Linked DNA regions of Astyanax mexicanus. The protein of the gene in region 1 purifies or fractionates together with the protein of each later gene. This does not show direct contact. Links are inferred from orthologs where the notes say so. Each region holds a gene or a part of one and is shown in the gene's direction. Other genes may lie near its edges.

The links.
Region 2: the proteins of inpp5e (region 1) and pde6d purify together in Homo sapiens (affinity purification with mass spectrometry; 3 studies listed by BioGRID and IntAct, with this or other methods). This does not show direct contact. The link is inferred for Astyanax mexicanus from reciprocal best matches to the Homo sapiens genes INPP5E and PDE6D.

What each region holds. Positions count from the first base shown.
Region 1 is NC_064429.1:22,875,038-22,891,726, reverse strand, and holds the start of inpp5e (phosphatidylinositol polyphosphate 5-phosphatase type IV), read left to right. Parts: upstream 1-9,963; 5' UTR 9,964-10,058; intron 10,059-11,446; 5' UTR 11,447-11,509; coding exon 11,510-12,315; intron 12,316-13,552; coding exon 13,553-13,676; intron 13,677-13,817; coding exon 13,818-13,915; intron 13,916-13,993; coding exon 13,994-14,118; intron 14,119-14,233; coding exon 14,234-14,353; intron 14,354-14,814; coding exon 14,815-14,922; intron 14,923-15,016; coding exon 15,017-15,178; intron 15,179-15,288; coding exon 15,289-15,404; intron 15,405-15,501; coding exon 15,502-15,638; intron 15,639-15,848; coding exon 15,849-15,984; 3' UTR 15,985-16,689. Other genes in the region: mfsd10 (major facilitator superfamily domain-containing protein 10), read left to right, coding at 1,570-1,716, 3,028-3,124, 3,211-3,314, 3,490-3,648, 5,035-5,223, 6,197-6,305, 6,623-6,734, 6,915-7,023 and 4 more. UniProt on the Homo sapiens protein: Phosphatidylinositol (PtdIns) phosphatase that specifically hydrolyzes the 5-phosphate of phosphatidylinositol-3,4,5-trisphosphate (PtdIns(3,4,5)P3), phosphatidylinositol 4,5-bisphosphate (PtdIns(4,5)P2) and phosphatidylinositol 3,5-bisphosphate (PtdIns(3,5)P2).
Region 2 is NC_064412.1:25,055,924-25,072,608, forward strand, and holds pde6d (retinal rod rhodopsin-sensitive cGMP 3',5'-cyclic phosphodiesterase subunit delta), read left to right. Parts: upstream 1-10,114; 5' UTR 10,115-10,336; coding exon 10,337-10,386; intron 10,387-14,415; coding exon 14,416-14,504; intron 14,505-15,144; coding exon 15,145-15,270; intron 15,271-15,522; coding exon 15,523-15,628; intron 15,629-15,726; coding exon 15,727-15,808; 3' UTR 15,809-16,259; downstream 16,260-16,685. Other genes in the region: cavin2b (caveolae-associated protein 2b), read right to left, coding at 1,899-2,357. UniProt on the Homo sapiens protein: Promotes the release of prenylated target proteins from cellular membranes. Modulates the activity of prenylated or palmitoylated Ras family members by regulating their subcellular location.

The sequences.
Region 1 (16,689 bases):
TTGCAGAGACACTGCCACTGAAGTTATTTAGCGATAATTTACCGACAGATTAAACTATAGGTCTGACAGATTCGACAGACTAGCTATTTTACCGTCAGAGTCGATTAAACCAACCATTTCGACGTATTTTGGAATGTTGTTTGTGTTTTAATCCAACGAAGTTTCCCTCTTTTTCGCTAGCTTGTTACTCGATCTTTCCGTTCCACCTTAAATGCTGCCACGGTTACATGCCTGTGCCTGTTCCCGCTCCAGGCTGTCGCTGCAGGAGTTTTTAAGTTTTTAAGGTGGAACTGGAAATTAAAACTGAACAGAAAACGTAAAGCGTTTGAATATACCAGCTTTATAAAGTTGTTTGTTGTAAGTTTATGTGATCTGTAAAGTGATGTGAAAACCGCTGAAAAAAAGTAAATTTACTTTTGGCGAAGTTTGAAAAAAAAGTAGCTTAATTAGCTTACATTGTAATTTGGTACAGTGCAGATTAAGGCAAAAGCATTGTTATTTTGTAAGTCACAAAAAATATTGTAATATTAGTAAAATTGCTATTTAACGTTATATTGCAAAAAAAAAAAAAAACACTTCTAGTTATTCCACAAAGTCGCTGTTAGTATTTTTAACGCAGTGAAGTTAAATACCAACTTCTTAAAGCAACAGTCTTTCAAATTTATCACCCACCAGTTTATAAATATGCAAAAATGACAAGCAATTGCAAGCAACATTAACAGAATGTTTAAAACAATTTAATAAAAATACCCTAAGAACTCATAGAAACCTTGACAGATTTCTAAGAGCGTTAAAAAAAGCCCAGAACAATAGAAAAACATTTTACTTGTTAGCTGGGAGAACAGACAGGTAGAAAGACAATCACAAAGACAAAGACAATCCAGATACTTGGAAGGATAGATAGTTGGATTGACAGGTGAAAGGCAGGCAGGTTGAAATTAAAGACTTGTGAATGTAACAGCTTTCTAAAGCTGTTTTATATAACCTGTAAAATGGATCTGAGACACAAAAAGGCACATTGTAATTTAGTACAGTGCAAATTGCGTTTGTTATGATTAAATGTAAAACCCATTATTATTATCAATGATATTCCTAAATATCTGTAGAACTAGAACCACCCTTGGACCTCTTCTAGCTGTCCCACACTTTTACAGTTATCGTGAAGACATAAAACGTCATAAAACACTTCCTGTTAGTTGGCTGTTTTGCAATGCAGTGAATACTTGTCAACTTCCTTAAAGCATCTGTTCTTTAAATCTGCAACTGCTCCACCACCAATATCTGTCCAAATGTTTGTTTACACCTGCTTATATTATAAATTTCATTGCTCCAGTAAAGGCCTCTACTCTTCTGAAGAGGCCGTACACTTGATGTTAGTAGTACGTTGCTGTTATCATATGAGGTATTGATGCTGAAGTATATATAGAAGTGGTGTTTAGGTTGAAGTGTTTTCATCTTGAATGCTTAAAATGATATTTTTTATCTCTTTGAGCACAGGAGATGCTCTGAGTATCATCCACAACTATTCAGGTTTGTGAGCAGACCAGTGAAGAGACTGGGAGAGGAGTCATGGCGGGGGCTAAGAGTTCTCCAGAGGACAGACACTCTTCTCGAGTCATTCGGGTGGTGTTTTTGGCCCTCTTGCTGGACCTGCTAGGTTTCACCTTAATACTCCCCCTCCTCCCCTCCATTTTGGACCACTACAGTCAAACAGGGGTGAGATATCACTTTATCCTCATCTTACTCTTTAATATTATGTACTCATGTAGTTCTCTGGTTTGTGTAATAACGTGTTATACAATATACACTTCTGTAATATTTATATAGCAATTTATTCATAGTAAATCAGTAAATAGCCACTTGTCTTTTGTTGTTCAGCATATTTTTGGTGTTAGAATAAGAAAAAATGACAACTTTGCAGAAGTTTAATGGAAGTCAGTGTAAAAAGATCAGGTCATTTTGGAGCATTAATATTGGTCCATTCACCATGACATAACACAATGTAAATAACAGCTGCCAGATTCACATTATGTCAAAAAGTGAATATACGCCAACAAGTTTTGTTTCAATATGTTTTATTATTTCATTTTATATTTTCCATTAAAAAAACATAGAAACAACAGTTCAAAACCCAACCTCCAACCAACAACCACACGTAAAAAAGAAAGAAGAAGGGGTAACCCCCCCCCCCCCCCCTAAAAAAACAAGCCCACATTAGTGTCTCTTGACATAGTCTAATATAGGTTTTCAGGTTTTGTTTAGGTCTTGTGCACCCTGGATTGTGTTGCCACAAAATTTCTATTGAAGCAAATGTGAGACAGCCAGCGTTTAAATGATGGTGCAGTAGGCAATTTCCAGACGAGAAGGATCAACATTTTGGCCACAACCATACCAGCCACGGCACTTGTTGTAGAAGATTTGGATATGTAGAGCATCCAGGCATGTAGAGTAACCACAAATTACAGTTACATGGTCAAAGTTCAACTACACTTTAAGTGCACTTGAGATTCAGTTGAATACATTACCCTACAAAACAGGGCAAAATAAAAGGAGGTGAGCCAGAGAACCCTATTCTATTTTACATCTCTCACAAAGTGAGGATACTGAACCAAAATTCTTATGCAGTTTTACCCTAGAATACTGCAGTCTATGTAATACTTTGAAGTGAATCTGTCTGCACCAGGAGCTAATAGAACAATGTGGAATTCTTTTGAGGCTTTCCTCCCATACCTTATCTGTTATGTGACTCTTACTCTCTCTGGCCCAAGCCTCTCTGTAACAAGTGGAGTTGGAAATGAACTTAGAGACACAGTCTAAACTGGGGATCCACACAAAAAAAACTAGATATTGAATAATCATTTTCTCTAAAATAATGCCAAAGTTGCAAATAGTAGAAAAAGTGTAGAGAGGAAAGATCAAATTTATCTTTAAATAAGTCAACAAGATTTTAGTCTGACAATGATTATGAGTGATAATAAACGTAAAATCCATAACAGATTTCAGTATTTTTATCTTATGTTAAAACAGGATAGTGTGTACCAGTCACTGCAGAGCATTGTGGACTGGTTCAGGGAGATTGTAGGAGTTCCAATGGAAACGAAGTACAACAGTGTTCTGTTTGGAGGTAAAAATTGATTTAGCTTCTGAATTTATCATTAGATTGATTGTGTCCAATAGGGATGATCATCTCCTCTTTGTTCTGCTTCTTAGGTCTGATAGGCTCACTCTACTCTCTGCTACAGTTCCTGTCATCTCCTGTGATAGGAGCTGTATCAGATTATCATGGGAGAAGACCACTGCTGCTTTTAACTACTGTGAGTATGGGGGATTTTTTAATGTATTAAATAAGTTGCTTCAACAGCTGCATATTAGCTTCTTTTATATGAATATTCTAAGATAATGAAAATAATGGAAATATGTTTTCTTAGGCTGGGGTGTTGAGACATTCATGGCCCTTATAATTCAAAATCAATCAATCTCTGTTTCCAGGTGGGGCTGATTTTCTCCTACATTCTCTGGGCGGTTTCCCACAGCTTCAGTATTTTCCTCTTGTCTCGTGTTGTGGGAGGACTATGTAAGGGTAATGTGAGCCTCTGCACTGCGGTTGTGGCTGACCTGCCTTGCTCTAAAGCAAGAAGCAAAGGAATGGTGAGTCATGTTTACTGTGTGATGTCTACAAGATGTACACAAGTAAATTACTGTACTGTAATTATTAGTGTCGTTATTATTGTTATAGAAAATTGTGCCACAGTTAGTTCTGTTGTCACAATTATATTTGCTTACAGGTTTTTTGAGTGCCAGTATCTCTCAATAACAGCACTCTGATTTGGTCTCTGTTAAAAGACCAATGAAGTCATGTGTACTTTTTTTTAGCCCTCACTATGAATTTTGAGGTGGTTTAAGGGTCAAGATATATACCATATTTTTCACACTATAAGGTGCACCAGATTATTAGGCGCTCTACCAATAAACGTCTATTTTCTGGACTATTTTTATACAAAAGACACACCAGATTATTTTATGCGACTCTAGTGAGGAACAGGGGTGTCGCCTTGTCTTCCTTCTAATTCAGCAGGTCTCACCGCTTGGTGGAGGTGAGCAGCTAATGCTAATACTGCTGGAGATTTAAACTGAAATTCCTGTATGACCTCAGCAGAGTGGTTTTACTACTCCTTACAATCTGACTGCTAAAATTCATACATAAAGCACACCAGATTCTAAGGCGCACTGACAATTTTTAGGAAAAATAAAAGGATTTTAAGTGCGCCTTATAGTGCAAAAAATGTGGTAGGATATAGTATCTAGATCAAGCTTTTATTAGCTTACGATTTGTGGAAACTTTCTGTTCATATCTTTCCACTTAATAGACTCATATCTGCCCTAAAGTGGATTTTGGAAATGATTTAATGACATAACAGGTGTTACGCCCTCGCTATGTTTTCCTGTGTTTTCCCCGTTTCCTAGTGTGTTTCTCTAATACTTTTCCTTCACGTGTGTGTAATTTGTAGCTCCGCCCCTTCCCCAGGTGTTCAGTGTTTCTTGTTCCTATTTATAGCACAGTTTAGTCCATGTTTAGCCGTCGGTCTTTGCACCTTCCCCCGTTGTCTGTCACGTCACGTTATTGCTTTCTCCACGTTTCATATTCACTCGCTCTTGTTTATTGTCATTCACGTTATTTCTAGTCACGTTTATTTCCTGTTTGTTTCTTTGTTTATTTTGTATATATTTACGTATTTATCCTTTATTAATATATATCCCTAGCCCTGTTTGTTATTATCTGTTTTACGTTTCTCCCTGTTGTTTGTTTATGTACATAGATATATTCGTTATTCCCCTGTTTGTTTATTTGTTTATTTGTTATTTATTAAAGTATTGGTCTTACCCGCATATAAATCCGCCTCCCGTCTCATCCCCGTGTTACAACAGGTGTATTTTTGTGTAATTACACTTGAGTCACATGAATCAAAATTTTGATTTCAGGATGTTTGTGTGATCAGTTTGGTAACTGTTTTATTCTTGTATTTTTCTTAACAGGCAATGATAGGAGTTGCCTTCTCTTTAGGATTCACTCTTGGCCCAATAATGGGAGCATACTTTGTGCTGAAACTGGCCAATACTGAGCTTTTCTATCAGGGCCCTGCTGTACTCGCGGTTGTCTTCTCCACAGCAGACCTGCTCTTCATCTTCCTCATGCTGCCAGAGACTTTGCACAAGGACAGCAGAGTAAGAAATTAGACACATGAAAGGAATAATAGCATATTATTTCTAAGTACAATTCATCAGGTATTTACTGGTTATTAACAGATAGTTGTAGATTTTTCAGATGTTGAGATGGAACTATAAGGGATTAATTATTTTTTTTTGTTACACTGCTTGGCCAAAAATGTCGCCACCTGTATTTAACTAAGCAAATGATGTGGGGTTGCTGTAGTTGGTCAGGTCTAGGTTCAGCAACGGTATGTGCTGAAGGATTGAGGTCAGCTGACTACCTGAATATACTGAATATAGACCAGGTTATTCCATCAATGGATTTTTTCTTCCATGATGGTACGAGCATATTCCAAGATGACAATGTCAGGATTCATGGGGCTGGAATTGTGAAAGAGTGATTCAGGGAGCTTGAGATCATTTTTTACACATGGATTGATAGTTTACCACAGAGTCCAGACCTTAACCCCATTGAGAATCTTTGGGATGTGCTGGAGAAGGCTTTGTGCAGCGGTCAGACTCTACCATCATCAAATATCTTGGTGAAAATTTAATGCAACACTGGATTGAAATAAATTCTGTGACATTGCAGAAGCTTATTGAAACAATGCCACAGTGAATGTGTGCTGTAATCAAAGCTAAAGGCGGTCCAATGAAATATTAGAGTGTGAGACCTTTTTTTTTTGTGGCGATTTTTTGTGTATTTGTATTGTAGAAAGAAAAAAAGGTTTTATTAGGTTGTTCTAGGAACAGTTTAGTTTTGCTGAATGAACAGTCATCATATTGTCATATTTATAACATTCAAAACGTGAACTATAATTGATTTAGTACCTAACTATGTAATTAAATATGCAATTATGTAACTACAATAAAATAGTAAAGCAAGGTTAAACCAATAATTATGGACTATGGACTATAGAGATTTAGGGATTACACACTGGTCATATAAGATTTCATGTAATAAAAGATGCTGTTTTCTTTATCGAAGGGTTCCTCAGATGCCTCTGGTGTTCAGGAGGTCGGGGACCTGCTCAGTCCAGTGGCTCTTTTCAACTTCTCTGCCATCACAAGAACAAAGGAACCACCATCAAAACAAAGTAGGCTTGTATTAATTATTGCCATTTTTATGTATAATACACTATATTCTTTCTTTTACAGGAGATGGCTATAAATCTGCATTTAAATCTGTAGTTGTAAATCAGTTGTCCAACTCGGCTCCTGGAAAGCTGCTGATCCAATAATTGCTTGAATGGCTGATTTGGGTGTGTTAAATATGGGATGGAGCTCTCCAGGAAAAGGGTTGAAGACTATTGGTTCTACTTTACGTGATATATGCTGCATGCCCACAAACATACACATTTTGTTACTTAAGAATTACAAATATTTTGCTTTTGTCTCATTATTGTGACACTAGGCATGAACAATCTAAAAGTTCTGGGCTGGGTGTACTTCGCATACCTCTTTCTTTTCTCTGGGTTGGAGTTTACTCTGAGCTTTTTGACCCATCAGCGCTTTCAGTTCTCCAGGTAATACACACTCATACATTATGCACAACTGTGATTGTGGTGACAACAGTAACTGTTACTGTTATTGTGTGACATATCACTTTAGGGGTAGATTTATTGAATCATTTTGTATTAATTGCCACTTCCTCATTATTCTTGTTGTCTAATGATTATTCTTTTTATTCTTTATATTTTTTACAGCATGCAACAGGGGAAGATGTTCTTTTTCATTGGCATAACAATGGCACTGTTCCAGGGTGGATACGCTCGCAGGATCCAGCCCAGTCGCCAGATCAAGACAGTTCGCGTGGTACTTTATATATATTTACATATAATAGTATTTTTTTAGGCATTGACAGTCACCCCATAGAAGATTATAAAGCATAGTTCAACACATATCAGCAGTGCTGCTTTCCTCTAGTAGTTATTGCACTAAAATCCTAAATTACAGTAGCTAATATAATAAAGGAATTAAGTTCTGATTGTATTGTTAATCATTTGCACTTTCATTTATACAATTATTAAATCATCTTTTTTTGTTTTGTTTGTTTTTTGTTTTTTTTTAGGCAATAATATTACTAATTCCTGCGTTCCTGCTCATTGGCCTTGCACACAATTTGACAATGCTCTATGGCGGCCTGTTTTTGTACTCCTTTGGTAAGCAGAGAATACAGTGATTTAAATCTGGACAATTTCTGATAGCAGTCCTTTAACTCTTTTTTTTAGTTAAAAAAGAAATCCTTTGAATTACAATGGATTTGCGCTTTCCTCTCTCATACAGCGGCTGCCATCGTCGTGCCATGTCTATCAGCACAAGTCTCTGGACACGGTGAGCCTTTGTTCTCTAAGCTATATGGAAGTTTTAGACTGATATTTGTACAGAAACATTTACAGATGTTATGCAGCAGAAAATGAGATCATAATGTAAGTAGATATGTACTGAAAGATCACACAAGAACACAGTGAGGACAGTGATTAATATCTTGGTAACAAAATACAGTGTAAAATTAAAATTGAATGCCTAAAGGCCTGCCTTTGCAGACCCCCTCCTTGAGTCTTACCACACTGTTTCCACAGTATTCCTTTCTGTGCAAAATAAGGCTAGCCAATTACACTAACACTAAATAGTGTTACTTACACTGGGTAGGTCACTAAAGTTGGAGATATTCCAGTTTACTGACGAGTGAACAGACGTTATTTAGTAGAATGGACAGGCTAGAGTTAGCTTTTAGCCTAGCACTGACCTAAGCTTTTGTTTCCTGGCACATTAAGCAAACTTACGGAAGTTGTAACAGTTTGTTAGAGGTATATTATTGATTATTATGATGCTCATTGTCTATTTGTGAACATTTGGTCTTTTTGGCCACACAAAAGCAGTGCTCTTCTTCTACAAGACAAGAAATATAGCACTTTATAGATTATGGATTATTATATGTTACAAAAAAAACAACAACTAAGTAATAAAATCTTTAAAAAATTATGTCACTGATGTTTCCATTGCATTAGGCACTGCCAGTCAGAAGGGCACAGTGATGGGGATCCTCCGAAGCCTGGGAGCCCTGGCCCGAGCACTGGGGCCAATTCTGGCCTCCTCAGGTGACTAATCACTTTTCAGCAAGTAAAGGAACAGGAAACACCCTTTACTCTTTTACTGTTATCTTTATTATATTAGCAGGTACACTTGAGGAAGTGACTGACCTATATACAGACATTGCTGAAAGTATGATTGATGTTTTACCTTTAAAGTTAAATTCTTCCTGTTCTAGATAACAGGTCATTTAAAAGATACAACTAGTTTGACTAACTAAGGTGCATATGTTACCTGCGTAACTTTTTCTTTGTCACTGGTGCTGCTGTTTTGTGTTCATAAGACATCTTTGTCATATTTTCTTGTAGTGTACTGGTTGGCCGGAGCTGAGATTTGTTTCCTCATCAGTTCGGCCTGCTTTGTCGCTCCTTTGCTCTTACTGGGAAGACTAGAGAGACAAAAAGAAGAATAAGAACAATCACGCTGCCTTTGTTTACATTCCTAGAAACACCTTTTATTTTATTCCATTCACTTTTTATTATGGCGTATGCAGTTTTTTATTGAAGGTTTTTATATAAATGTTTATTCTTTATAAGGTACTCTTAACAAAACAGTACAACTTGATGTCTTAAGATTGTAATTCAGTATGACACTTGTATTTTGTACTCTGAAGTGCATAAAGGTCAACAAAGCCAACATGAACAATTTATCATGCTGTCATCTCAGGCAAAGCATTGGTAAATCTACTGATTAAACAGTAATTAAATCAACAGGTTGTACCACAGTATGTTTTAACACAAATATGAATGATCATATTAGAACACTGGGAGATTTTGTATATTGTATTTTGTAAATGTCAATAAAATATTTTTTAAAAAAGGAATAAAGATTGTTCTGTGTGTTTATAGTTATTTTTCTGTTTGATTATTTAGCCAAAATTTAAAATACTGAAATGATGTGAATTGTATAACATTGATTAAATGGTCCTAGTGGCAAGTGTAAGCATTTGAGAATCTCCGAAACATCTTATCTTGTGGGGTGCTTCCAGTATGCAGTGGTCAATACCTCTTAACAGTGCTCCAAGAAATGACATTGGAATACAGAGAGAATCGTGGAATTAGGATGTAAAACAAATTACAGATTTAAAAACAAAAATGTGGGGGAAAAAGAAAATAGAAAATAATAAAAAAGGTAAATTTGGAAGAAATTTTATTTTGTAGGACTGTAGAAAAACAGGTTGTTTTATTGTTCCAACACTGAAACAATATACAGTACTAGTTAAACGTTTGAACACACATCTAATTTATTCTGTTGTCTTTCTATTTATGTTTTTCTTATTTAATATTGAAGACATTATAGCTATACAGAAACATATGTGGAATTATTTAGTTATTTATTTAACCAAAAGTGTGACCAAACTATATAATACTATGTAACTCTACTTTTCATCATCTGTTATAAGAATTTTATTATTGTTTATGTTATTGTTTTATTTTTTACCCAGTTGTATCTACCTGTATTATCCCTGTATTCTTTATTTTTTTATAATATTATTTGTATTATACATTTTATATGCTTCTTTTCTCCCAGAGAAGTAATATGAAATTGAAGAAAACTTTTTTAAGGACATATTCTACTTAAATATATTTAAAAATGATCATTTAGGTATAGTTATTTAGATTTTTCCTTTATTAATGAATACAATCAATAATTTCAGTAGGATTCAGTAGGATTCAGGGGGGCGCTGTGTGCGAAAGCTGCTGCTCGCTGGTTGCTAAGGAAGTGGGAAAAGTTTGGTATGATGCGGGGAGCTGGAGGTACTGAACGACTGATTTTATTAAATTACTACATTTAATAACAAACAAATTAGATATAACCTACATATATTAAAGCGGAACTGCGCTGCTGCACTCTGAGACACGGCCGCCGTTGGCTGAGGACAGCGCGGTTAGCCTGTTATTAGCCCGTTAGCTGCGGCGCGTTTACAGCAGTGTTAATAGCGGTCACCGTTAGCAGCTGGACCTGCTAGCCACAGAGCGCTAATGTTAACTGAGATTCACCAATAACAACATGTTGCTGCTTTTTTCTTCGCCTTTAGTTTAATAAGGCCCGTTATTTATGGTGTAAAAACACACCATATATCTGACTGTGTTTATGATATGACTTTAATAAATACAAAATTTACCACCAGACTACACTAGTTAAAGCTAGCTGGCTAACGTAACCTAGCTAGCGGTAACTTACTAGCCGGTGTTTTGTCGATTTATGCTACCCATCGAAATGTGCTTCTTAACACCTTTTATATGTTTTCATGTGTTTTTAATGATAATTCCGCTTTCCTTGGGTGCATTAAGATGTCTTCTTGAATGTTACAAACCTGTAAATGGCAATAAAAAGTGGAATGAAAAATATTAGTAATAAACTATAAAAAGACGGTTTCTAATCACCTTACGTGATACATTCATTTATTCTGAATTTCCTACCAAGACTTCTTCTGCCTGGAGCATTTTCTAATATGGTGCTTTTTTGTGTTTTTACCTATCTAAATACCTAAATATACACTACGGTAGCACGGTTTGACAGGGTAGCACAACTCGACAGAAAAGGTGAAAAGCATAACCTAGCTACCAAGCTAAGTTTCCCCTGGGTCTGACCAGTTTCCATTTGCTTCTGAGCTCATTAATGGCAGTGTTACTTAAAATGTCACACATAACCAGTGATTATACGTATTTATGAACTGTTTATTATACCATTTATGAAGTGGAGATATCATTATTCTTAAACAGGATGTCTTGTGAACTTGATAGCTCATTTGGCACAAATTTGATCCAGGCATGATATGATTTCCACATGTTTTTATTCTTAATTCAGGTCTAGTTTTGACATAACACTTTATTTCACCTTAATATTAGACAAACACTGTAGTACACTGTATTTAGCTGCATGATTAATAATATGAGTTCAGTGTAATGAAAGGAAAAAAAAATAGATTATTGAATATCACTGAACATCACTATTATAGCTCAATATAAACTGTATACCGCTCAGCTCTAAGTATAAATAATACATGGTTAAGTAATACAGTTTAGCAAGTATAGTATAATTTATGAAAGTGTAAAATATAGAAAAGTAAGCATTAAGCAGTTTAATTATTCAGTACATAACTGATAATTTAAGGCATTCTTTTTTGTCACCAACATTTCAGGATATGAACACATGAGGACCACCATGGTGCTTGTTTGCATCTGAAGACCAATGTGATAGTAGGATGAATGAGAATGGAGATACCATCGTCCCATTCCAACCTGAAGATGAAGTCAGATCAAAGGAGCCACCCAGCAGCAAGACCAGCTTTAACATAGAAGGTGGTGATGGAACCAACACAGAACCCAGAGCTACCAAGAAGTGCAATGAAGATTTACACATCTCTCAGGATGAGCAGATCCAGGAGACAAGCCTTAACCCTTTCCAGCCTCATCCACCCTCCCTGCCCAAGCCTTCCGGTGTTGGCAAAGGGATCAGAAACTTCTCTTTTGAGGAAAAGACAAGGAGGAGAAGACTGCGGAGTAGTCAGGAGAGTCTCACCGATCCAGCAGAGACAGGCTCCTCCACGGACTCCCTTAGAGAAGACTCGACACCTGTGCTAAGCAGTGCTTTAGGTTTAAAAAATGGAGAGATCTCTGGGGGAATCGACTTTGATCGAGCAACAAGGGAGTCCCCACCGTTTCGGGATCGATGTAGCAGCCTCCCAGAGGCAGACAAACATCCTTCCAGGCAGAGTCGTCTGGTCGAGCTGCGGGCAAAACCCTCCAAAATCATCCTGTCGCCCCTGCAGCCTACGGGATCTTTTCCTCCACTGGACTACAGTGTTGCCTCCATGTCCTTAAGGACCACTAATCGGATTGACAGGGATTGTTTGGATTACGGGAAAAGGGGCCTGCCGGAGAGGCTGCACAGGAACTTCAGCGACAGCCGGCTTTTGGACACCATGGTGGCAGACAGTGCCTCGGTCAACTCCATGAAGTCCAACTTCAGTGCACTGAACCCAATCCGGCCTAAGGATGTGAGAAACAGGTAGAACCTGTTCATTCATTTGGCTTTTAGTTTTTTTGGTATATGTTTGTGCGTTTGTTTTAGATAATCTGCACTATTGCAGCTTTTGTGAGGCTTAGCCATTGTCATGTAGCTTTACGCCTTTCACTTCCGGGTTTGTCATTCAGTGCTCCACTAGCTTAGATCATAGTCATGGGGGTATTTGAATGATCCATGTTTAGTCATGCACCTGCCACCTGATGCTGTGATTAACCGGTCTTCCCTGGGGCTTGTACATGCCCTCGCTGCTGTTCATTGTTGGGCATATAGTGACCGGTGCTGTTTCTATTTGTGTTGTTAACATTTACTTTTTTTCTATGGATATATTAAGGTATTATGCAGGTGATTCATCTGCATCTAGAAGTCTGTTAGAATTGTTATACCCTTGTCCTTTTAGTATGTTAATTGCATACTTAAGTAACCTATCTCAGAAGAAACTAGCAGACATTTATTAGATATACACAGTATGTGTATATCTACAGCATGTCGCATGTTGCATTAACACAGCATTAACAAATGCTGAATGATCTGATCTTCAGTAATAAATTTGTGTATATAAGGTAGTGTGAAATGAGGAATGCTTAGTAGTGTAATTGTAAGGGGATTAAAACTGGATCAGTGTAGGAGGTGCTAACTACATGCTGTTTTACTGACTGGATTTTTCATTCATCAAAGAATATGAGTTTTTGCATTAAGAGCTAATTTGTCAGTCCACGGCTTTGCGTTATTTGTTTGGATATATTATAACTGCAGTGGAGAGCAGACCAGAGTATAATTGAGCAAGGTTTGAGCAAGGTCTTTTTTTTTTTTTTTTTTACAAGTAACCTACACATCTTTACATTGAACGTACTTTTGGCATGACAAATCCACTTTTTTTTTTTTTTTTCGAAATTGTGTTTTCTAAAAAAAACTTGTAAATAGTGTATCACATTTTAAAATGTAAAAACATTCAATTATCAAAAGTAGGGTTGTAACAAATGATTATTTGAAAAGTAAAAATTAAATAGATTGGCTCTTTGCAAGTAACAGAAAAGACACTTTAAAATCATTAATTGGGCTGGCAGTCTGAAACTTTAAGTCAAGGCAAAAGATACTTACTCAATATTATGCAGTCGGGGCAAAATTGTAATATTGTGTGTATGAATTAACCTGTTTAAATCTTCAGTACACATGGCATAAGGATATCAACCATATACCTGACTGATGATGTTGGTTTCAGGAGCTTTCTGGAAGGCAGTGTGCTGGGCAATGGAGCCTTGCTTGGGCCTGAAGAGCTGGACCGGTACTTTCCTGACCGACACGTGGGGATCTACATAGCCACCTGGAATATGCAGGGAGAAAAAGTGGGTGATCCAGAGTGATATTGTGATACACAGCTTTTAAAATAATAATACTTATTATAATTACTATATTCTAGTTATAATAACTATAATCTTGGCTCCATATATGTTTCCATATTAATGACTATTGCATGTGATCTACAGGGGTTTCCAAACAACCTCGATGACCTGTTACTTCCCACAGACACTGAATTTGCTCAAGACTTCTATATCATTGGGGTTCAGGAAGGATGCCCTGATAGGTATACCATCTGTTGACTGTTGCTTACATCTTGGCCACTGTTTCTCTTTATGCTTTACTCATCATTTTGTGTCAACAGGAGGGAGTGGGAGATCCGACTGCAGGAAACACTTGGTCCATACTACGTCATGCTCTATGCAGCAGCACACGGAGTGCTGTATCTTACCATCTTTATACGAAGGGATCTCATATGGTTCTGTTCTGGTGAGTATCTCACTAGTATCAGTATTAACCTTTTAATTGAGAGTAATTTTATATTTATATTGTTGACTGTGTATGCACTGCCTGAATTTGCTTTTGGTGATGATTCGTCTTGCAGAGGTGGAACATGCTACAGTCACCACTCGCATCATCTCGCAGATCAAGACTAAAGGGGCAGTGGGAATTGGCTTCACTTTTTTTGGGACATCCTTCCTCTTTATAACATCTCATTTTACTTGTAAGTACGGCAAGTGAAGACAGCATAAATGCATACCAGTATACTTCTAGTGATTGTCAAAAAGTCATATTTCCAGCACAAATTTCCAGGGATAGTTGTAAAAGCTGCTAAAAGATAAAAAAAAGTCTGTGAAACTGGTAGTTGAATTAAATGTTCAATTATATTTTGTTGTTTAAGCCAAATAAGCGTTTTAACTAACATCCAACATGACAGAGTATGTTAGGTCTTTTATGAGCTTTACATCTGCTGAATTTACCTGAAAAGCTACTAGAGAATTCTAAAATGCATCAATATTAGTTTGCTGCTCATATAACAGACAATTCCTTTTTCTTTTTTTGCTGCAGCATTATCTAGCTTCCACACGACATGCCAAAAGACATGTGACATATTAGTTCCTATCTTATGACTTTTGGCAGGTCCACTTTAGTACCATAATAACATGGGCGATGTTTCTGTTTCAGCTGGAGATTCCAAAGTGTACGAGAGAATATTGGACTACAACAAGATAGTAGAAGCTCTGGCTCTTCCCAGAGGTCTTCCTGACACCAACCCTTATCGTTCCATTGCCTGTGAGTCTCCTTGCAAATCACATTTAAATTGCTGCATCACCTACCGTTGATCTGTGTCTGTTACTTAACATCTCTTTGTATCTTCTATTTTCAGCGGATGTGACCACCCGATTCGATGAAGTCTTCTGGTTTGGGGACTTTAACTTCCGCCTGAGTAAAGACCGGGGAGGCGTGGAGGCTATTTTAAACCAGCACATTGGGAAAGATATGGGCCCTCTGCTTCAGCACGATCAGCTGTGTAAAGAAATTAAAGAAGGTAACTCTATTGACACTTGATAGTTGTAGGGCTGGCTCTGTTTTAAATCTACACTACAAAGATTTAATCCAGCCTGTAGAATTAATCCAACCTGTAACTTCTGTTCATAGGCTCCATCTTTAAAGGCTTTCAGGAAGCCCCTATCCACTTCCCTCCCACCTACAAGTTCGACATTGGCTGTGATGTTTATGACAGCACTTCCAAGCAGAGAACACCCTCATATACAGTGAGGAATACTGTCATTTTTTTATTTTTTAGTGTTTGAATAATTATTGTTGTTATTTCAATATGGCTAAGAATCGTTTTGTTCTATTGTGGTGTAGGATCGAATCCTGTACAGGAACAGACAAGCAGATGATATTAAAGTGGTTAAGTACACTTCCTGTTCATCGATCAAAACCTCGGATCACCGGCCTGTTATTGGCATGTTTCAGGTCAAAATTCGGCCTGGCAGAGACAAGTAAGTACTTCTCTTTGAGATACAGTAAACATATTTGAGGATTGCTAAATTGACATAAATGGGTTAGCTGTGTTTTTCTTCCTGGATTAATTGTGAGCATAATGTCCTACTGTGTCATTACTATTTTGTGCCATCCCTGATCAAAAAGTAGCATACCTTCTATTAGTTTAGCAGATTAAGCATTTCTAATGCAACATACCTGCATTCCAGCATTCCACTGGGAGCCGGACAGTTTGACCGACCCGTGTACCTGGAGGGCATCAGGAGGAGGATTACCAGAGAACTGAAGAGGAGGGAGGCCGTGATGAAGAACCAGAGCAACAGCACCGTCTGCTCCATCTCCTGATGCTGGACGAAGCTGGACGAAACTGAGACTGCATACTTCCCAAGCTGAGCTACAGACTCAGGAAGCTGGACTTTCAGGACCAAAGGGAAACTCAGAACTACGGGAGATGAAGTGTTTGGGCCACCATTCAGGTCTTTAGACCTGTTTGCCACATCCTTATGAGAGCTTGAAGAAGAGAGAAAAAAGGCAGTGCCTGGACCCTCAAGCCTAACAGCTGTGTGTAACAACCATTGTTACACTTTACTTAACATCTATGCCTGTCTGATTTGATTTTATTTTGTACACATATTTATGGTTGGATGAAAAGATTGACCTATGACTCACAACATTTTCTAAACAGTATTTAATGGCCTTGTACAGTTAACATCTTAGAGTTCTGGTATTTAAATTGGACAGATTATTTACCACAAGCAAGTAGATACCAGTTTTTTTTTTTTTTTTACGGTTGTTTTGTTTCACGGATCTCATTGACTCTGTTTACACCTGGTCACTCCATGTGAGTAGTACCTGGATTACTTCCTGATAAGATTTTAGCTACATGCTTTTAGTCTTGGTGGACAAATGCGATTCCAGTTTGACAAAATTCTGCCTGCAGTATAAGATGCAGCAACCAGTAATTGATTTCTGCTATGAAGTTTGCAATTTTGCATTCTGTAATACTCCGAGGTTATCTTCTTCACAGTCATGGATCACATGTCCACTTGC
Region 2 (16,685 bases), on another chromosome or scaffold:
ATGTAATTTGAATGAAAAACTGTAGTATTTGAGTAATTTATTGTGCTAGATTTACACTATGATGTACTGCAGGTATTAGTCTGTTAATAAAACTGAAAACTGTATATTTATGCATAAATTGTGCATAGTAAACAATGACTAGTAAAATATGTGCTCAAAAACAAAACTATATCACTCTACTGCCCTTCCTTAGGATCATTCCTTTTCTGGCACCAACAAATTCATAAACATTTGTATGCGTATTTATAAAATAATAGTAATATGGTATTTTGAAGGAAATTGTTTTTACATTTCCCAAATTTTTAGTTGCTGTCAGTTTTTTTATAACATAATACTACTGGTGCCCCAACAGGCACACAAAACTCAAATCCTAAAGACGACAGTGTTTCTGGTAGCTTTAGGTTGAACATTGATCACTGTGTATCACAGGCTACAATCTACATGTGTTATTAACATTTAACTGCAAATATCTAGACCATTACTTTATTACTATGAGTGGGTTAGAAGATTCTAATTGCCTATATTATATTATATTATATTATATATTACTATATTCTAACAGCCTATATTATCAGATTTCTTATCTTGTGCAAAACTGCTAAATATTTGTGGGAATGGGCAACTTTTTAAAACTGAAATATGGATGGTAGATGCATAGATGTATGGACAATGTAAAAATACAGGGAGACACTGCAAGAGCACCTGCATCAGTCTTCTAAAATCTAAAGCCGTAATCAGAAGCCTGATCAACACAGAAGTGGTTTAAGGACAAAAAATATGATCAGATAGATCATAATCAAATAAAAAGTCCTTAGTTCAATGCAGAACCTGTGGTACTGTTTCAGATCCAGCAGACCTACAGAACATGAATCAGATATTCAGAAGAAATGAGTGAAGATCCTCCCAAGCATAGCAGAGATCTGGTAGAAACCCCAACCCATCTAAGACCAGGCAAAGTTCTCTCTCTTCCCCTATTCTCCATCCGCAGATAGCCTTATTAGGCTGTCTTACAGAAACAGCAGTAAAACACACCATCACACACTCCAGTAAGCCTGTGTTTGGAGCTGGTCATGGAGAAGCAAACCTTAACATATTACAGTCTCTCTCTCTCTCTCTTTTTCTCTCTCTATCTATCTCGCTCTTTCTATCTCAGACACACGGATTAAGAAAACCAGAGAGAGAAATCAGTTATTATCACTTAGCTTTTTTTTTTAACAGATGTTTTCCACTTGACTAATTGTATCTGTATCCTTCCAGAAACAATCCTAAAGGCTTGTTCCTCTGAATCTCTTCTGTGTCAGTGCAAATGTGTGATTTTTGCCGAATCCCAGCCACACCCTTCCTGCTAATGCTGTTTAACCCCTCACCTTTGACCCTCATTTTAGAATGTAGAGGTCTGCAGCTGTGAAATGTCGAGCTGCCGTGTTTCCCCACCCTCCCTTACTCACACACACACTGTCTCAGCTGTGAAACATACTTATGCCTAATGTGTTTAGAAGTTTTGATGCTGATTAAAATAACTTTAGGTATGCGACTGAAGCAAGATCTCATTCCACATGAAATTGAAATGGACATTTTTGGACATTCTTTCATTCTGGAATGTGCTCACAGTACAATAACTGAATTCATAAATAGATTAAAGGCTTGTTCTGCAATGTTGCATAAAAGAATATGATGAATGATACATTTCTTTTGTTTACTAAAATTTGAAACGCTAAAATTAACCTCTTGTGAATTTCCTGTTTTATAACAAATTGCTCTTATTGCTGTTTGGTTAGCGCCCCCTAGAGGTTTCAGAGATAGTTAGTCTCTGTGCTTTTTTCTTTCAATATTTTTTTTAGATCATTCAAACCCCACACCCCTCCACCCAATGGCCCACCACCCCCTGTTACCCGTACCTGGAAGATGAGCACTCTGAAGTTGTTCCTTTGGATTAGGTGACTGTGGTTCGCCTCCAGCTTCTTCACCTGAATGGCCTGTTTCTCCATGCGGTCCCTGACCTCCTTCATGTGGACACTGACCTTGCGGCTCTTGTCCAGCAGTTTGCTGAGGGTGTTGGCGGTGCTGCTGTGGCTCTTGCTGAGTTTGGTGATGTTGTTTTGGATTCCACGGACGGCACCCTCCACCTGGGCCTGCCGCTGCTCCAGGCGGGACTGGTCCTCCTGGACACAGTCCAGCATCTTGACCAGCTGGTCCAGCAGAGTCAGAACCGTGATGGCACACACGCCATCAGGCTCAGGCTGGAGCAGGGTGTGTGTTGGAGGGGCGTCCACCACTGGGTCCGGGACGTGCAGCTCCTGGCTCTCATGTCCATTTGCCACGCTGATCCTTTCGGCCTGGACTCCGTCCTCACCCATTTTCACACACAGCTCACACACTTGCAGGACTTGCAGGGCAGCTCACACACTGGAAGCTCACACACTTGTAGCACCACACCCTGTGAGTATGTGTGTGTGTGTGTGTCTGATCTTGTTCTTCGCTGTTTTTCAGGAAAAAGTTTCAGTTTCCAGATTCAGTGGCCCCACCCCTCTCTCTCGCTCTCTCTCTCCCCTCAATCTTCCTCCCTCTGTCCCTCTCTCTCTCCCACTGCCCCCCCTCACTTGGAAAAGTAGAGCAGTGTTTTCCCCTCACAGCCTAAAAAGCCATTCCCCACCCTAAAGGGGTGGAGCTTGGTTTCCATGGAAGCTTGTTCACCCAGTGCCTGGAGCTTCATGTGTTTGCCTGTTCTGAGTGCAGGAGTTAGTGATAGAGTGTGTGTGTGTGTGTATGTGTGTGTGTGTGTAATGGTATGTGAGCAACAGTCTCCAATAAACTCTCTCCCCATTTTCGTGCTCTCACCCACTTGCACTTGGCCCTCAGCCAAATTAAAGGGTGAAGAAAGCGTGTGTGTGTGTGTGTGTGTGTGTGTGTGTGTGTGTGTGTGTGGCAAGAAAAGCTACATGTTTGAACAGTGAGCTCATATATGCCTGTAAGTGTGTGTGTGTCAGGGAGACAATGCAGTCAGTAACTTCTATAGTTATGAATAGTATCTGAGACAGTTTTGAAACTCTCAGTCTTTGGCCTAATCCCATTTCACCTCCTGCCCCTACTATTAAGCCCTACCCCTCCATATATGTGCATTCATGCCTTGGGGTAGGGTGTCCCTTATTCTTTTTAAGTGTTTCTCCAAACAGAGATTTGTCAAAGCAGATGGTTATAAGAAAAACCTGCAATGCACAAGTGATAGGGCTGCACGATATTCGAAAAAATTTACATTGCAAATGTTCTTTTTTCAAAGCTATATGTTGCAATATTAAACAATCAGGGGCCATGACTTTACCAGCTTCACCTCCACACAAGTGCAGTCTTAAGTCGGGACCGATCAAGAGTGAGTCAGCGCCGAGTACTTAAAACAAGAGAAAAACAACAGTAATTAGCCCTTTAATCAGACATTTAAATTGATTTTTAAAAGGTGTATAGGAGCCTTTTTCTGGAATTAAAAGTGTGAATTCAGCTGTAACTGGAAATATCTGTGCAAAACTGTGCTGCCCCTCCCCCTCGCACTTCTCAGGCAGCAGCCTGTCACTTAGACAGATACAGAGACAACGCTGTGTATCTACTTCTTGTGTCAAGAATCAAAACACTGACGTGTTTGATTTAATTGCCTTGCACGTCCTGCGATGTGACATATCGCGATAGTGATGCAATATCGATATATTGTGCAGCCCTAACAAGTGACCAATGAAACCCACAGACGTATTGATTTGTTTGTTTCAAATTGCAATATCCATTGCATTTTGACATTAAATGGTGCTACAGTAACATTATTTTACCTAAGGCTCCCTGTAATCGACAAATTATGGGTGGAAGATGCTAAATAATTACTGCATTACTCCTTCCTTTGGGAAAGATACATTTAACTAAGGCACATGTGTCAAACACAAGGCCCGTGGGCCAAATGTGGCCCGCCACGTCTTTTTATGTGGCCCGCGAGAGCTTGTAAAATTTTAGTGTCTATAATAAATAGGTCAGAAGCGTTCTTTGACCAAAAAATACATTTCCCACAATGCTTGTCGATTGTATTACCCGCAAAGTTACGGCTTACTGCCACTACACGGCAGTGTAGTCATTGATGTGGAAACCCTGCCGGAGGGAAGGTGTAACTTCGCGGGTGGAATTGAGACATGTTTATCCCATAATATCCAGAAAAAGAAAAGTTGATGCAGACGGACGGCTGTGCTTCAAGGCGAAAGACCGGTATGCATTTTGTGTTACTGACGAAAATAAACGCTTTTTAGAAGAGATATAAATTATGTGTAAATATTTATAAGACAATAGCTGATCAAATCTGTTTTAATGAGGTTAATAAACATCACTGTGACATCGCTAGTCGCAGTTTCACCTCAGCAAAGGACGAGGAGGTGAATCACTTATCTAACCAGCCTTTACTGATTTCTTCAACAGTCTAACCTTGCAGCCGTGGTGTGTCCACTAAACTCCGTAGTTATAAACATCCTGAGGTTAGCAGCGCGCTAACTGACCTGTTTATAATGTAATCCGAGCAGTGACTCCGGGATGGCTGCTCTAAACTGCTGCTGTTAGCTGCTTGGGCTGAAATATGAACTGTAGAGAGCTGTATTATCCGGTTAGTGGGGTTATTTTATTTCATACACAGAAGAACTTAAAATTTTAAAAACGCTCCAGACTGGCTCAGCTGAGTCCTGTAGCCCGTGGCTGGGCTGTAGCTCTGACTCAGTAAAGACTGTGGGCTTGTGCTGCTGCAGCTCCCACTAGTGGTTGGATGAGGAAATGCTAAATCTGTCACAGCTCACAATTTTTGATTTTATATTTATTAAGCCTCTTTTCAGTATCAAACGTTTTGATCAAAGTTAATATAACTTGTATTTTATGTCATTTCTATTCACTTGTATAGTTTGGTTCTTGATTGATGGAGTTTTTGGATTTCATAACAGGATTTATGTTAATAGAGCAACAAGCAAACATTTTTTCCATGCAACTGTAATATTTGATTGAATAAATAATATATTGAGAGTTATTTAACATTAAGGAGTAATTACATTCATTTACATTTACATTACATTACATTACATTTGGTTACATTTTCTTATATTTATAAGTTACATCTGGCCCTCGGAGGACAGCCAATATGCCAATGTGGCCCTCGGCCAAAATGAGTTTGACACCCCTGAACTAAGGTCTAGCAGTGACTGGGGTACAAATGAGAAACAGGATTGCCCCTCTCACTGGTATCTTTCACTGCTGCTGAAAGATTTAAAAAAAGACTCCCTCCATTTGAAAAAAGCTAAAGAAAAATGGGAGGTGTAGTTTGGGAGGGGCACTGAGTGATGTATGTGTTTAGAGGCAGGGCATGGGGAAAGCTGATTGGCTGAGCTGCAGCAGCAGCAGTGTGCCTCTGATGAGGCGCAAATGGTTGGACGTCAGCAGGGGGGGCGGTATTATTGATTGACTGATCTGCATATTGTATGTGTCTGCATACCAAAATACTCAGACACATCATCTACACCTATCACAGTTGAATCTGAGAGGGTGCTGCAGAGGCAGAAATTACCACAATAAAGGCATTTAAGCAGGACAGGTATGTTGCATTACTTCAAAGAAACACATTTTAGCTTTTAATGAAAAAATATGATTTAGGGTTTAGTGTCTCTTTAACCCTCCTCTCTTGCTGTTGTGAGGAAATTTAACATAATCTTTAATATTGAAAGAGCAATCCAAGAACCAAAAACAAATGTACATAAATAACACAGATTAGAACTCAGGTGATAAAGAGTGGGAGAGCTGTCCAAGAACGACTAATGGGGAGCATACAACAGTGACAAGATGTTAAGAACCAGAAGGTGTAATGGTACCCCCAGTGTGGCCAAGGAATGAAGACAACCTTGTGGACCACCACCCACTTTTCCAAAAGCATCTTAACTTGACCAACCAGAGCTGTTGTTGCACTGGACTGAAGATAGTGAAGTTATCAGGGATGATCTCTGGCTTGGACACAACTGTAACCAGTGAAAGGATAAGGCAGACAATGCCTGATGTGACCTCTAGGTCAGGGAGTGCGTTTCTAATGCTTACACAACCCTGGATGTAGGACATTCTTTGCAGGAAACCTGGATCCTTTCCAGCTCTGTTTCTTTAGACCAAAGCCCTTCCAGTTGACCATATATTATACCCCGTTCCTCCTGAAAGAGCATAGCCTCACCCAGTGGCACTGGGAAAAATAAATTGAAGAGAGAGGCTCAACTTTGTTTAGACATTTATTAGACACTTGAACTTGTATAGGAATATTAAGCTTATTATGTTAACTAACACTTTGAACAATCTTAATTGGACCAATAGTCTACTTCAGTCCAAAGTAAATATTATGCCCAATTATTGTTCATGACAACAATTTACATCAACAATTTATCTAGCACCTGATTTATTCTCCTGCACTGACTGTTTGATTAAGGGTGATATCAGAAGTTAGAGTGATCATAACACTTTTAAACAAAGCCATTTAAAGAATTAAGACCAGACATGACTATACAAACCTGTATATTAAGGACTACAATCAGATGCAATGCCTTCCCCGAAAAACACAATATAATTAAGAATACTTTCAGCAGTTGGAATAATGGAATAAATCTGTTAGAATTGCAGTGTATTCTTGCACAGGGGTAAATCAGTCTACTGCTACATGTAACAGAGATGAACCAGAGATGAATCAAGAGTTCCCCTGTATTAACTTACATTTCTCACCCTATATTGCATGATACAAGTACTATAAATGAAAAAAAGACACTACACAGTTGTTCTAAAGGTATTGATTGCGGCTCCAATGACCATAGCCTTCATTCACCAATTATCATTCAAAGAATTTAATATTTTGAGTTTATACCGTCAGAAATACTGTATTTTTACTAGAAATTTTCTGATTTAAGATTGTAGAAATGTACCCAGATCTGTCTGACATAACTGACTCTAACTAAAAATGCTATTTACACTTTTTATGCTTAATATTCTTTTAAACTAAATCTAGCAATGCCTAACCCAATATCTGGTACTTTATATTAGGATTACACAGAACTGGAGGTATGGAGTCTCTAGTGATATGATCTTATAGGATCACTTGTTTTTGTATTTCTTCTTCACTTGAACTCCCTAAATCTGGTTCCTGGTTCTTAAATCTCAAACAAAACTGTCTACGTTATCCAGTTTATGCCAATAAAGCAGCACTTTTTCCATTAATCTAATCTAATATGATCTAATAAAATGCATTTTTTCCACTTAGAAAAAATCATTGATAGGGCTTTTAATGAATCTCATTTCTTCTGTTTCTTAAGACAAATTGCCTTTTCACTGATTCTGTCCTGAGATCATAAAAAATCATCAAGCTTGTTTGGCTGCTTTTTGAGGTTTTTTGTAATGGTCTCTCTCTTGTAACAGCTGCTCTGACCACACACTGATAGACACGGTGCCAAACGGTATTTTCTACAGAACTTAGAATCGCATGTAGATGTACAAGGACAGCCTTTTTTTATTTTAACTGAGATACATTTTGTAAAACAAAAAAGAAATAATTTGTTTTAATAAAATGTTTTTTTTTGCTGAGAATGTGTTTTTGCACCCAGCATGCTCAAAAGTATCAAGGGCTTTATTATATCAAGGTCTCGTTCTCTTTTAGCTCACCAGCATTCTTTAATTTTAAATTTTAATGATGTGTGAATAAGCAGATAAAGACTAAGTTTGCTGTTCTGATATCTTCATGTTGGCAGTAGATCTCGAATCAATGTCATTAGCAGCACCGTTGTTACACAAGTAATCAGCAAAAGCTGTCATGGTAAGAATAAATTCTGGAAAGACCTACCAGAAGCTGTTTTAGAATAAATATGTTTGATTCCATTTATTAGAATATTTTGTCTCCTCTTTACTCAGGAAAACTTATTTTTTTAACAGTTAAGGTGTATAAAGTGTTATTTGGACAAGTACCATAGAATAAACCATGTAGTTCTTTAGAGCATCAATACATTTAATTGTCATTTTAAGGACAACTGTAAACCTTTTAATAAAGTTTAAATGTCACGGAAATGAAAAAAAAAAAGCTTTCAGAATCCCTTTAATAAGAGTAATTTAGAGTAATTTAATAAAACTATTTAGGACTCATTTATTTACTCAGCATAAACCTACAGATGAAAGAAAGTGAAGAGTGTTCTTCAGCACTGCTTTAGACATTTATTTATTCATGCATTTTTACCTTTCAGGTTCCTTTATAGTTCTCAGTTTACACACAGTTTTTATGCAAAGGAGCTTGTCTGCCCGTGTTAAATCAACACTGTAAGCATTAGAATTTGACTAGATAAATGTTAATTTAACACAACAGTGTTGATTTATCCCTGGCAAATCTGCTGTGTTTTATGTTCTCTGAACACTGTCAAGAACAAAAATGCAAGCTTAGTTCATCATGAAAACTTGAGAATGTGTTAATCAATGGATTTGTTGAATTAGGTGTGTTTTAAGCCGGATATCACCAACCTGTGCAAACTCCAGGCCTAATCAGCCCAGCTGCAGGGTGGGACAAATACATATTAAACAAATGTGTGTACTTGAATGTATATGTAATGAATACGTGTACGAAAAATGCAGTGACCCTGAGGTAGCCTGTAGTCTGCAGGCCCAAATTGACTAAATAAAAAAAAGTATTTATGTCTAAATAGTATTTTTTTTCTCTTGTAATGCAGCACCACTCCATGGACATAATCTATTATTACAGGTCTGCAGTATTTGACATAAATGTATACAAGAACTCAGCCCACATCAGTACAGCTGTAGATTTTCAGAAGTTCCTATTTTTAAACAAAATTGTGTTGTATTTGTGGAGTGACCTTTTTACCATTGTCATGACAGATCATTGATCCATCAGCAAATATTGTCTGAGTCAATAACTGTGACAGACAGATTGTTCAGTGTCACATTTATAAGCACACACTTTTGTGTTTACATAAATATTTGAGTCTTTGCATGTTTAATTTCAGTTAGGTCAGGTGACCGTGATGATTAGTTCTGGATCACAAACTCCACTCCATCTCATCCTAAAGATATTGGATGGGGAGCTCCAGCATGGTTCCACCGCTCAACATTCCAACAAAGGAAGGGATGAAGGTAGAAGGTTGTATAAGTTTAAGTGGGTCCTTTTAAGAAAATCCCCAAAAGATCCCAAAAATTTTGACTGTTAACATAAACAAAATCCAGCTTAAAACCAGCTGGTCATCAAGAGAAAAAACATAGACTATGCTGGTAGACTATCTCCTTGACTAGCATAACCAGGGTATGTATTTTTTAAGCTTTTTTTTTTTTTAGAAGGGTTTACTTTATTAACATTGACCACAAATGTCTTATGTTTGTGCATACCCTGATATTATACAACATTAAATAAAGGTTATTTTTATACATTTAATTTTTTTAAGGTTGATGATGGAAAAAAACAACCTTTATTTGACATTTCCCTATGTCCATCAGTTAATGCGGAAATTCTGACACTGATTCAACTTTCATTTAAAGGTTTTGAATGGTTGGAGCTCTGTATCTACATTTACTTTTAGGTGAAGTGTGCTTTACACAAATAATAATATTAATACTAAAATAATTATTATTTAAATGTGTCTTTTTATTGTGCAAGACCACAGTACTGATTATAGGAACAGAATACAAACAAGATACACATATGTAATGTAATTAAAATTTAATACAAACCATATATATAAAACCATAACATTTAGTCGAGATCTTTAGTCGTAAAATCGAGATTAACGTTGTTTCAGTGCATTAGCGATGGAAAGTTAACGCAAATTTAACGTTTGGTCGTATTCTGCTTCAGCCATCACTTCCAGACCCAGGCGAACTGTGTAACTGATAACACAGCTCCGCTTGATCCACTCGAGACGCCGTAGCTCGCATCCAAAGGACCTTTCTAGTTGCCATCGGTGACGCGTCCCTTGTCAACCAATCAAGCCCCGCCCCAAGTGCCGCATTCTTCATCCTGATTGGTCCGTTTGTGTAGTTTCGTCTGAGACGCGCACGGTAGTAGGGCGATTCTGCTGTCAATCAATCTCCGCCGAAAATCTATTTACAGTAGGCTGGAGGAGCAGCAGCCGAGGCGAATCTGTTCAGATTAAAAGCAGCGCTGTGTGTTGTAAAGTGTGGTATTCCGCTAGCCAGTTCACCTAATAACCAGGTTAACCCGCTACAGCGAGTCGAATATTTTAGCTAGTGGACTGCTGCTTTCTGTTCTGTTTTATTTTTTTTATTTTTCCATTCAGTGAATCGGACGATTTTCGGAACGATGTCTTCGGATGAAGACAGGGCGAAGGAGATCCTGAAGGGCTTTAAACTGTATCCTTTAAACTTGAGGCAACAGCGCCAGATTAGCCTTCAGCTTCCAGAATAACATTCAGTGACCAGATTAACACTGTTTAGCTAAACGTTTCATTTCGTTTAAGAAATGAAGCGTGTTTTCTTATCTAACGTTTTTTAGCCATAGAACCTAAGCTAGCTGGTTATAGCGATGCTTTTCCGTTAGCAGGATTAGAGAGCCGAGTAACTAACGTTTGCAAGGTAGCTGGCTAATAATTAGCTAGCGTTAGCAATCTTAGTTAACTAACTATAACTAACTGTATAGCTAGCCAAAATTTGTTTTTATATTTTTATTCTTAATCGGCAGCGAATAACCAGTGTTAATACTTAACCTATTATCACAGCCAATTTAAGCCTTTTTAATTTTGTAGTGTGCAGCTACTAATTTATTTTAAATATTGGTGATAGCTGTACATAATATTTTTTTAATTCTATAACCATTAGCTAACTTAGTTAACCTAGCTATCTGTTAAAGAAAGTGTGTTATAGCTAGTTAGCTAACTCATAATTTTAACAAACTTTATATTCTTTATTATGGCTTATTATTATATATTTTATTACTTTTTGTATTATTATTGTAATTGTATTTAAAACGAAAGTTTATGTCTTTGCAGCAGCATGCTAGCACACTAACTTATATTCTATGTAAGGCTAGCTAGCTTTACTGGCACCAGGTCTATTTTGCAGATAAGAGTACATTAGTTTGTTAGGCTGGCTAAACTAGGTTAGCTAACTAGTTTATCAGACTAGTAGTACCGGTGAGTAGTAGTACTGTTTGTATAAATTAGCTAACAGCTAGTTAGGTTAGCTAGCTAATGTATAACTTTCGTTACCAACTGATAAGTGCAATATATATAAAAGTACACTAGACGTCTTTTTTTTGTGGTTTACAAATTGCCCAGTTTCCTAACGTTACTGATTGATGTTACAGGGGGTGTTACGTGTGGTAACCTGGTAGTGAGGTGTTACAGTCAATCTTTAGCTTTTAGTAAACTGATAATTTGTTCTGTTTTGCGGGATATTTCCATATATGTCTGTAGGCGTGCAGAATGTCAGCTATAAATCACGTATTTAAATTGCTTTTGTTTTTTGAGCTAGGGCTACTTGGTCTGCATCTTTATTACACTACACTTCCTTCACAGTGTAATCTAAAATGTTGCTCAAATCTGATTTTTCACTAGTTTATTTAAATGCAGACATGTCTGACAGGCTCCAGACTGTGTAGCAGGTCATATTTAGGAAGATTTTAGGAGGTTGCTAGATGTTTGTGGGATCAAAGTGCATTAACTAGTGAAATGACCCCACTGTAAGAGTGTCTCTGCTGGCTACTTGGTTTACATAACGTTGCCTGCTGCTCCTAAAATTGGCTCAGTAAGTCCGACAAGAATAATCACACCTGCACAGCCTACCGCCATACTGTAGCCGTCACGAAGGGTAGGTTGGATTCATTTAACCTGTTGAAAGGGCCTGTAGAGGTATCCTGATGTGGCATTGTGTTTTTTTAGAGTCATTTGCTGATGTTGTAATTTGCAGTTGATTATGAGTGTGACCTTCTTTGGGAAGGTAAGGGTGTATCTTACAGGCTGGTAATTCTTAAATCCTTTATTTGCAAGGGCAGGGATTTGCCTTATGCTACTCGCATCCCTGCCTGTGCCGGGTGGTTCTCAAAGTCTCATTACAGTAATGGCTTTAAATCTTTCAAATATTTGCCTTACCTATAGACATATTTATAGAAGGCTAATTAATGTCATATTTGTGTAGGTTATAACTTAGTAATGGAAGCTTAATGAGCTTTAGATATCAAACCAGTCAAAGCCAGCAAGAATTCATACTAGTGTCAGGAGTCTTTTTGTTATTTTTTTGCTGTATTTAAATACCTACATGATTACTCTAAATGGTAATACATCTGTTTCTTAATTATTGTAAATTGCCAACACTGTAAAATGAATGTTAATGTATAATAATCAACTCTGCTGTAGCTACACTGCCTAAACGTAACACTGAATCCCCTTGTGGCTTTAAATGTGCTGTAAATTGTAAACAATTATCCCAATATCTAATATCTAAGTGGGCCTGTTTGTTTGGAATATTGTACTGTTTTGTATCTGTGATTCTCTGGCTGTGAGCCTCAGGGGTGAATGCAGTGCATAAAGTAGCCTCCCTTTGGAGAAGCACCAAAGCACACATGCTCATGAGGATATAAGTGCACACACCCCCAGAGCCAAGACCAGTGCTCACTGTGTAGAGACTTTTCCTTAATGTATCTTAAGTGTGTGAAAACATAGATATGTTAAAAACTAATATGTGGGAATTAGTATTCAGATGCAGATGGATACCATTCAAACTCCCTATTCAAACTTTTCTTTTTTGGTTTGATTTAGGTTAGAACATCTCACTGGAAACTGCCACTGAATGATCAGAGACAGTCTACTGACATTTAGAACGTTTTTTTAAGCTGGTACCTTATTTTTTTGCAAGGCCAACACCGAATTGCAAATGGCAGATTTGAAACAGTGGGTAACATTTTAAAAATGCATGTGACTTCCGTAAAAGCAGTGTAGCCTTGGGACTAATTAGCATGACTGTGTCATTGTTTGTGAGTTAAAGGGTTTCTCCCCTGCGACTCTCACTGTGCATCACTGGTATACACAGCTGGTGTGATCCTGAAGACACCTGTCACCACTAATCTCTAGTGCTATGGCCCAATCCATCATCAACGGACCCAGTTAGAGCATATGTTTTTAATTGAAACTTCCTGATAATCAATATAGTGCTGTGTCTTAATTGTGCTCTCACTTATGTTTTTTATAATTTGTTTTAGTTTTATAAAGTCTGAATTAATGGTTATAGTATAATATTGAATAAAAGTACTCTTGATAGTGATTGAGGGATGCTCTAAATCCTACTTAAAAAAGCAACTTACTGTGAGTCAACTTTATAGATTTTTTTTGTAAGGCAGTGTGGGTGAGTTTGCATCATGTGGTGTACACATAGTATGAACCATAACAAAAGAGGTGCTACCAAAGGTTATTTGAGCAGTGCCATAGAGGAACTGTTTTTGGTTGCATAAAGAACTAGATATGGACAATAGGACACTATTTTATTGTATTGTATTATTTCTCATCAAATTGACAATAACCTTTTTAAAGAATATAGGGGACTGTATTGTTGAAAAACGCTGACAAAACTGCACATTTCATTATTTTAATTGAATGTATAATATGACATTTTAAATAAAAATCACTGTACTCAGTTTAGGGTGGTATTTGAATAGTTGAGTTTTTTAAGGATCCGTCACTAATGGTGCATTTTGAGTGCTATTGTGTCTCTTGAGCTAAATATTGTGTATCATAGAAAAGCATTGTTATGCATTTTTTTTAGCATATCCTCCACCCCTATAAAAAATTAGGTCCTTGACCTATTAAAAAGCTTTTTCTTCCTCATCATTTTTGGTTCTTTATGGAACCAAAATATTTTCCTTTGGCATCTCTTAAAGAACTCTTGCTAGCAACATCATTTGTAGTGTTGAGTGTAGTATGTGGTAATGTGGGTCCCTTGGTGAGTGGTTACTATGGTGGGGGTTTGTGTTGTGGCCTGGCACTGACAGACCACTGTGTTTGTGTACCTCAAGGACAGGACTAGACAAGACACAGGTGGTCTGAAGATCAAGAGGTCAGATGTCTGTGACTTGAAGCAAAGAAGATTATCATTGTTTTTATGTGTTTTACTTCCGTAAGGGTTTTACTAAAGAAGCGTGAGGCTGACATTTGCTGTGATGCTTGAGACTGTTTGTGGAGTTTTAAGCACATTTTACAGTTAATGTGATGTAACAACTAAGTAAGAAAAGCTCTAAAATAGCTAATCTGATATAATGCTGTGTTGTATCTTGATACATTGTATCTTGTATTTTTGGACTTTTTAAACAGTGTTTATTTTATTTGCTGAACATTTTTTTAAATATGGAAGGCTTTTCTCTCAGATTTTAGTAGCCTTAACCTTAATCTGCAGAAACTGGATGAACCTGAGGGATGCAGAGACGGGGAAGGTTCTCTGGCAGGGTACTGAAGATCTCTCGGTTCCTGGTGTAGAACATGAAGGTATGAATGCTCCACTGTGTCAACTGTGTTCAAAGCTGTTGGCTCTATTTTCTAAGGACAGCAGTTCACCTAAGGTTTTACTTAAGCTTTTAGAGGCTTTAGCTGCAGACTGAATGGTCTTTGTGGATCTATGTTATGCATATATTTGCTGTCCAATGAAAAACAAGTCTCCAAAACAGCAACTTTACAAGTGAAAAGTAAAAACTTCTTCTTCTAAAACTTTCAAAGGTAAAAGAGTTTCTTTCTTTTTTAACTTTGGAGACATTCTGTTGGTGCAGTCATCAATAAATATTGATACACTGTAACAGTTTGTGAATAGTTTGTGTGTTTAAATTATATAGTAAAGTAAAAATTGACAAAAATGGAGAGATTTGTTTTTCATTGGATAGCGATGAAATCCACTATTATAAAGACTTAACATTGTTACAACAGTGGTATAACCAAACCATTATAGCGGTAGTATAACTGCTGTGTTTTCATGCAAAAAGGAAAAATGATATTTGTAAGTAGTGTTAAAAATTAAACTTTGTTCTCAGTGGGCTGAGGACATTTAACACACTTTACATGTAGATGGGTTATGTAAGAACATGAATACACTTGTGAATCTGTGCAAAAAGTGTAACACGTTTGTCCTTTTCAGCTCGAGTTCCCAAGAAGATTCTGAAATGTAAAGCTGTCTCTAGAGAACTGAATTTCTCCTCATCAGAAAAACTGGAAAAATTCCGCCTGGAACAAAAAGTGCTCTTCAAAGGCCAGTGTCTAGAAGGTTGGGACCACTATTTCTTATCATGCATACATTCTTATCTTTCCGTACTCCAAATTATACATTATACATTATACATTATTCAGTACACAATTTATACTGCAGTTTTTACAGTTAATAAAAAAGTATTTAATAACATATTTTACACATATACCTATATGTTTATAATGTCTTAGAATTTTTTTGTTTTAAGTTTATAAGTTGTTCTGTGTACTTTTTGGGTGTAACCATTTATTGTATCCCCTCTCCCCACAGAGTGGTTCTTTGAATTTGGCTTTGTGATACCTAATTCCACCAACACATGGCAGTCTTTGATAGAGGCAGCACCAGAGTCACAGATGATGCCTGCTAATGTGTTAACGTAAGATGTTTTTAAATGCACGTCTAGTCATGTTAAATAAGTATCTCTATTCTTTCTACTGCCCATTCCCTAATTGTTCTCTTTTTTGTCTTTTATAGTGGTAATGTTGTTATAGAGACCAAGTTCTATGATGATGAGCTTCATGTCAGCACCTCCCGGGTACGACTTTTCTACGTCTGAGGTTCTTTTTTTTTTTTTTTATCTGTCATTCAGTAGGATGCACACATGCCTGCACATTTTTTTTATGGCCAGAGGACACTCTGCATAATGAGCATTTCTGTGGCACCGTGACAGCGGCACTAAAGGGAACAACTTGAGCAAAACAAATTTCAGGTCAAACGGTCATTCCAATATGATGGCAGATAAGGACTTGTATATAAACGCATTGATGCCCATCACAACCTGACTATGTAAATTATTACATTTGTACATTTTTTTCTCTCCTCCCACTCTTTTATCAAATTGTATCATGCGTTGTACACTGCTACCTTGTCTTCTGTTTTTAAACATTTGCTCTGGGTTTTTGTGGTTGCTGAAATTGTGTTTTTTTTTGTTTGATTGCTTTTGTTTTTTTTTTCTAGCAACACTGTAAGATAGACAGTTTAAAATATTAAAATATTGATATCCTTGAGTGGTACCTTTTTTCTTTTATGCTGGTCTGTGTTTTAGAACTCAAATACATTTTTATATACGTACATATATGAGAGATAGTTATATTCGTTTTTTTTTAATGGAAACTTTCCAATTTTAAAGGAGCTTCTGGGACACTATTGGGCTGCCTCTAGCCTAGATATAAGATGAGATATAGTTGGGCATAAAGGCATACAGCGTACACATGGCATCATATGGCAGATTTGCCCAAACATGTTGCAGCTAGGTCTGTGGATTCCTCACACTCGTAGGTTTTTGAAACGGGCAACCAAACTGGACCCATAAATGCTCACTGGTGATAAATCCAGGACCTTGCCAAAGAAATTGTTGCAGTCTGACATTTCTGGTCCACATTGTGGGTGCATGAGCTTTATCTTGCTAACAAAGCCAGATGAAAGGCCTGCCA